Bombyx mori: one gene and its partner. The protein of the gene in region 1 interacts with the protein of each later gene in a biochemical or structural test. Links are inferred from orthologs where the notes say so. Each region holds a gene or a part of one and is shown in the gene's direction. Other genes may lie near its edges. The genes, in order: polycomb protein Pcl and histone-lysine N-methyltransferase E(z).

Region 1 (3,837 bases):
GGTGCATCGCTAGATACGAATGCACCCGACGTCTTATCCTATTTAGGCCATGACGACAAATTTAATATAATGTGATAGTAGTATAAGTAGTGAAATGTTATAGTGGCTTCCAGGTTGTATATATTCGCTTGTGCTAGCTGTAACGGTGGTTCGGAGTATCTACGGCGGCTCGAGTTATGCTGGCTGGACCTGGCGCATCTTGCGCTATACAACCTCACCGCCTACAACGCGCCCAACTACTTTGATCTCGATAATGTAATCATGCCGTACATTATGGACAACTGGCACGCCCTGCAGTTACCCGAGAAAGTAAGTTTAAAATTTAATTTTTACCACCGGGCCGTAATGCAAATTGACGCCCTGGATTCATTCGTAGTGCATTTTTAGATCTTTTTTGATATTTTCTATCCAGCTATAAAATAAACTTCACACCATGGTATTTCCATCAGGTATGCCATATGGTCAAATGTTTACATGCGTTATTAAAAAAATTATCATTAAACCACACACAATTCTGTAGAGCAGTCCGTACTTCAATTCAAGCATGTTGTATGAAGGGTAGAAAAGCCATACCTCCAATTATTCCAATATAATGAGACTTTCTTATGTGTGATGTTCATGTGCTCAGCTAACAGGCTAAGTATGCTGTACGTAACTTTAAAAAATTCCTTTACATTTTAAATGCAAAGATGTATTAGCGAAATTGTTTACTTTTTGAACGTTTACGTTGTGAAACAGATGTGGCGAACTCCCGTAAATGAACGACGGGAGAAAATTCTAACAGCACTCACTTCGTCTCGAAAAAGATTCAAATGTGGTCGAGAGATGAAAAAACGAGCTACAATCTGGGGTCTCCGTCTCCGTCGACCTCCACCACCTCCGATGCAACTTTCAGCTTTAGAACAGGTAATTAATTATGTATGCAAGTAAATAAAAATGGTATCTGTCTGCGATATTGACACAAGTATTTTTAAAGCTCTACAACGGATTGATGGTTCTATGCCTATAACCTTCTCACAAACTTACAAAGTCTGATTGCAATTGGCTATACAGTGGCAGAGCTCAAAATACTGCTATGTGCTGAGGCTTAGGATAACATATGGAGATGTTTTCGCCAAAAGTCATCCTTTTTTACTTTCCTTTGCTCGAATTCAGTGTCAATAAAAATACGAACTACATGCGTACGTACAACTTAGACCGATCAATCTGAACCAAGCTTCAGTGGTGATGTGGCACAGACGGTGCACGTGCATACCCAAAGTATACTACTACTACTAGGTCTATAAAAACCTAGGTCGGGGAGCGCGGCCTTCCGTCACTCGATTGATCTTTTGCAGTGCGACAACGTGTCGGCATCTCGGGCTCTTTGCCCCCGCCGCGGTGAATGCGGATCGGTGCGGAAACAGAAGAGCTCTCACGCTCCGCTCCTACGTCATAGTGCACTCACAAAAAACGACCATCGCCTGCCTGAAACTTGAATACAACATCAACTATAGCCATTACTCATTAACGCTTAATGGTAACCCTAATGTTGGTCGCCGCCGCGACCTTATAATATTTATTGTGAGCATGGACTTGCTGTTCCATACTTTTTTCCGTTCAACCGTATTGTTTTCTTTAATCCTAGATAAAGAAGGGAGAACCATTGACGGACGACTTGGTGCAACAACACGCTCCCAGACTCCGGTTTCTACCTCGTGCTCCTACACCGAAATCTGTTGTTGATGATAGGTATTATATACTTTATTTCTTTCATTTCCTGAATTATGTGGTCTACCATAAGATATTCACGTTCATATAAGTCACCTTCTATATTAAAGTAGTACTACATTTTTCTTTCTATATCGACGGCTGAAAGACTATTTGGCTTAAGCGACATTTTTACAATTATTCAGCGAGAACTATTTAAAGTTTGGAAAAAATATCATGACAAAAAAACTTCTCCAGATACTTGGATGGAGTAAACTTAGTTGAAGTTCAATTAAAAACATAGAATTGTTGGTGCTAATACCAAATAAAACGCACTTTTAATTACAAAGGTAAATGTCGCTTAAGCCAAATAGCCTTTCACCCCTTGATATGATTCATTTTTGTTGTTAAATAATAATACAGAAGGGTAAGTAAATATTTTTTTTAGTTTCTATTCGTGATGGTAATTCTTCTACTATATTGTAAATCATTGCCACCCCTGAAAGACATCAGTAATACAAAGAACACAGCAAAGCCACCAACTTACTTGGAAAACGACAATAATGCAATTTTTTTTTTCTGATTTATAGAATACATACAAGCAGACCAGCATAGTAATTTGTTATTAATAGAATTGTTATTTTAGAACTGTCATTCACCAATTACCACTAATTTAATAACAATGAGTGATGTCCAACAGTTTAAATATTTTACTTTCTTTTTTTCAGTTCTCAGCCCTCTAGCAGCAATCCTGTAAAATGTTCCTATAAAAGTAACCATCAACGAATGATTGTTCCCGTTGATGGCCACTGGTTAAATTTAATGATGGGCAAACGGTTCCATGAGAACCTTAACTCAAACTCAAATTCAGAAAACGATTCTGCCAGTTCCTACGAGTCCATCAAGCTTATTGAGGCTGATGAACAAAACTCACCGTCCGTGTCTACAACTAATAGAAAATCTGAAGCCAAAGTTGATAATGTAGAAAATATAAAAGAAACCCGATCCAATGATAAACTAAGCTATGAAGAAGACCCTCCGATATCAGTGCCATCAGTAGTTCCGTGTTCAGTAAAGTTAGATAAAATATCCAAAGAGAATGTTGATCAGACTAGTATCTCTAAAAGTGAAGAAACTCATTTAAATTACAATGCCCATACAACAAGAATAGCTACAATGAATTTGGAAGTATCCAAGCTGTCCACAAAAAACATAATTGAACATTCCAAAATAATGTCACTGCAACATATGGAAACTGTACCATCATACACTAGCTTTAACCATGACCTAGAATCGTCTGGAGATGAAACTTCAAGTAGAGGAACTTTGGATGCTATTATACCGCCCCTGAAGAATTTTCAGGGAAGAAATAATCCTTTTTTGATGCAAAATACATCATCAAAAAAACCATTTTCGTCAATGACGAATATTTACCTTAAACCAAATAAAAAAGTGAACAATTTTCACTCAAGGTTTTCTTTGCCAGTACTGTTCAATCCCACAATGGGACCATTAATAAGACCTACGAAAAGAAAACTTAGTGAAAAGGATATTGTTATTGGACCAAATGGAGAGGTGAAGCGAAGAAAATATCGACGACCAAGAAAGTATTTACAAATGCAGGTGAGTGTTATATTTTTAATGCATATTCTTATTTTTCTAACCTGTTTAAAGTAATGTAATTATTATATCATTAACAAATATACTTTAAATCTGATAACTTTTGGAACTAATAATATAAATAGATTAAAAGAATAAACTAGGCCATGTAAGTAATCAAAGAACATATTTTTTGTACAATGAAGGCCAAGAATATCTGTCCCACGAAAGTAGTCCATTTCGTTTAAGTGTAGGCCAAATCTGCCAATAACTGTAATTCTTTCCTTTATCATTGTATAAATAATAAGAATCAAAGTCCTCATTAGGATTCTAAGCTTATTGCTTATTATTATTATTTTTGATTGTGGTTTCAAAATACTTTTATCATATAATTTTCCTAGTATTCTTTGCCAGATTATTCTTCATTTCCATTGACATTTCCTTCCTTTCTTCTAAGCCACAATGAACAAGGGTCAGCTAACTTTGATCCAGTAAGAGAAAGTTGATTGTTGGATTCATCTTGATTTCAACAACTTCAATTGTGTTATT
Region 2 (3,675 bases), on another chromosome or scaffold:
CAGCGAAACACTGCTCTTACTAACACAGATGCTAGTAATCCTCTCGACCCCGTGAGCGCGCCTGCAGCCCGGTGAGACCAGGCAGGTCTCACGAAACACTCTTCACTTAGTAGGGGAAATAAATTAGGAATAAATGATCACGAAAATTGGTTCTAAATTTTTCATGTATCTAATATATAAAATTCTCGTGTCACAGTTTTCGTTGCCATACTCCTCCGAAACGGCTTGACCGATTTTGATGAAATTTTTTGTGCTTATCCGGTATCTATGAGAATCGGCCAACATCTATTTTTCATCCCCCTAAATGTTAGGGGTAGTCACCCCTAACATTTTTTTATTTATTTTTTAGACAAAATTTTTAATTTCTATTTTTTTATGATACAACATACAAAAATACATACAATCCTTAATTTTCACCCTTCTACGATCAACCCTTATTTTTTATTTGCTAATTAAAAACAAAAATTTTTTGCAAGAATTTTGTTTTTATTTTGTCATGACTTAGAATAAAAAATTTCATATTACTCTGAAATTTTCACCCCTCTACGATCAACCCCTATTTTTTATTTGTTAATTATAAATTTTAAATTTTTTGGCAAGATTTTATTTTTTATTTTGTCATGACTTAAAATAAAAAAAAAAAATTATTACTCTCAATTTTCACTCTTATGCGATCAACCCCTATTTTTCCATACGATTTTTATTTTTTTTATTCTATGCACAGATCCGCAATAAGGTTGCAAGATGGCAATCAAATATTATAATTGTAGCATGATAAATTCTTATTCAGAGTTTATAATTTCAAGTTCCTTTAATTATGATTTTTTTTTAATTCAATTTGATCTCCTGCCCTCGCCGGTCGACTACATACTGATCAACTATCAATCGATCAGTTATCCCCGCCAGGTGTCACCACTCATCCAGCAAACATCACGTAGTAGGGATGAGGACGAAGCCGGTCTCCTGTCTTACTCACTATATATTTTTCAGCCATGTTCCTTTGGTTTTATTTGTGTATCAATAGTATGTTCAGTAGGTCTGAAAATCGGCTACTATCTATATTTCATACCCCTAAGTGATAAGGGTTGTTCACCCCAAAAAAATTTTTTTTATATATTTTTTTGTTATAATGAGGTATAGTCCCCGGCACGTAACTTGGCAAGAGTCGTTAGATGCGCAGAAGTCGTTTTTTAGGTCTCTTTGGTTGTCAAGCGGGACGCGGGGAAAGACGTAGCACCGTTCCGAGCGCGCGATTAGTGAGTCAGTCGACTCTCCCCTCCCGCACCGCGTTCACGTTCCGTTCGCTCCCGCTTACACATGTGCCTACTAAAGTTGTAGGAGCCCTTTGTTTATATTGAGTTTTTGTTACGAGTGTTATTGTTTTAAATTTGTTTGCAATGCCAGGACCAAATTATACCAATGACCATAATTATAGTCGATTCAGTCACTGAGCGTTTTATTATTTACGCCAGTGACGACAGCGATTCTTCGTTATGTCGACGATGAGGAGCTAACTCCTTCCACCAGCTCAGGTCCTACCATAAATTTAATCCAAGGGGTAGCACTATTAGAAAATGATAGTGACGACGGCGACACATAATTTTTAATATTGAGTATATTTTGTTAAATAAACTTTTTAACTTTTAATTGTATTTTATTTATAACACCTAATACACTTCACGAATTCCTCTCTTTTCTTTAACTTTCTTCTAAACACACAGGCTTAAAAATAAATTATGACAAATAAAAAATTTAATAAAATAAAATTAACATATATGCGGGCAATAAAAGTGACCATTTTTTTGTTGCAATGTACACTATGCGCGACATTACCCCCACTACACCAAAACCTTGCCAACTTCCGTGCCGCTTACTATATTATGTGGTTGAATGAGGTTTTTGAGAATTTTATATATTATTTCCCTAGAAATCTTATTTAAGGCAACACAACGTTTGCCGGGTCAGCTAGTTTTATTATAAAATTTCAGATTTTGTCGTGGATGCGACACGTAAAGGTAACAAGATTCGTTTCGCGAACCACTCGATCAACCCGAACTGTTACGCGAAGGTCATGATGGTGAATGGTGACCATCGCATTGGTATCTTCGCTAAACGGGCGATCCAGCCTGGAGAAGAACTGTTCTTTGATTATAGGTGAGAATACGGTGGACTTTATTAATGATTCGCTAAATACATGAGATGATCTTCATAGTCAGCTTAGTACAATATTTGTAACCAGTGATGTCACAAACTGAGCACCGCCTACAACTTCTTGAGGCTCTTGCACGAGTGCCTGCGCTACTCTTGGTGTGATGTCGTCATCAAAGAAGGCTATGTGTTGACCCGTGGCGCGCCCGATCTTCAATGATAAATACTGATCAGCATATGTTGCCACCATCCACTTCAGGACATAAGGTCTAAATATTGATTCATGACAGGTTGACTGTCCCTCCAATCTGAAGACATGATTTATTTCAGAGAAAAATAAAACAAAACAGCTGCAGCACACCCCGCTGACTACCTTGCTAGGGCTATTTACAAATTCATTCGATTATTGTATTGTAATTTGAACTAATGGATTTTTATTTTCAGATATGGACCTACTGAGCAATTGAAATTCGTAGGAATCGAGAGAGAGATGGAGTTCTTATGAGAACAGTCCAAATAGCAGTCGCTCCAAGACTGCAGGACACTGAGAAAGTCAGTGTGAACTCTACTCACAGTTTCATTAGAATGTTATCTATGTGAAATTTGACATCTGAAGATAAGTGAACATGACAAGTGACATGTGGCATCTCATAATGTAACATTAATATTAAAACTCACGGTTTCTTGTACACCTGCCTGTGAGAGGTCACAGGTTTGAATTCTTCGCATGTCTTTTGTTTTTTTTGTAAATGTAAAGTAAGGTATGTCTTCTCAGTCGGCACACATTATAGATGAATTGGGAAGAGCATTAGACACGTCATGTTTAAATTAAATACCTGGCTAATTAATAATGAAATAATTTTATTGCATGAGATGTGGTAAAACCCGTTTCTCTCTTCTTCTTTAATAAATATGTAATAAAACCAAATTGTTTTTTATTTATTAAACCAAATACATATTTATAAATATATAATTAAATAATTTTTTATTTAATTTTGGTATACTATATTAAATGCTAATGAATGTAATATGGAATAGTATGGATGCAAAATCTAAAGTAAATGAAATAAATAAAAAATAAAATAGCTTGTGCGAATTTACAGCCCCACTTTGAGCTCACTGTATACAACATTCTTGGCGATTTTTAGCACCCTAAGCTGCTGTCACCATTCTCGTGGAATGCGACGAAGGGCTTAACGTACAACTTGACAGACAGTCTACAAAGTTTCTCAGCAGATCTTCCCAGTGGGTCACGATTGGGATCGGGTGGTAGATTCAGCAAAGCATTAATCTTGCTAAGGCTAGTGTTAGCAAGTTCTGTAAACTCACCCACCAAACCGGTGAAGCTGGAATAGCCTCTCGAGGCATCCAGCAATTAGGCGGACAAAAGGGAAGCAGAATACGGCTGGTGGCTGTGTAGCTCATTTTTCATTATGATAGTTTGTGAATTTATAATTGAATTTTATACAGAGGCTTTTAACATATATATCATTTTTGTATTTTTCATTTTTTGCCGTAATTATACTG

Evidence for each region.
Region 2: the proteins of polycomb protein Pcl (region 1) and histone-lysine N-methyltransferase E(z) form a complex in vitro, tested with the Drosophila melanogaster proteins (2 studies listed by BioGRID). The link is inferred for Bombyx mori from reciprocal best matches to the Drosophila melanogaster genes Pcl and E(z).

What each region holds. Positions count from the first base shown.
Region 1 is NC_085121.1:6,822,431-6,826,267, reverse strand, and holds part of polycomb protein Pcl, read left to right. Parts: intron 1-113; coding exon 114-309; intron 310-738; coding exon 739-906; intron 907-1,627; coding exon 1,628-1,731; intron 1,732-2,417; coding exon 2,418-3,312; intron 3,313-3,837. UniProt on the Drosophila melanogaster protein: Polycomb group (PcG) protein.
Region 2 is NC_085117.1:20,080,612-20,084,286, reverse strand, and holds the end of histone-lysine N-methyltransferase E(z), read left to right. Parts: intron 1-1,988; coding exon 1,989-2,154; intron 2,155-2,592; coding exon 2,593-2,653; 3' UTR 2,654-3,076; downstream 3,077-3,675. UniProt on the Drosophila melanogaster protein: Polycomb group (PcG) protein. Catalytic subunit of the Esc/E(z) complex, which methylates 'Lys-9' and 'Lys-27' of histone H3, leading to transcriptional repression of the affected target gene.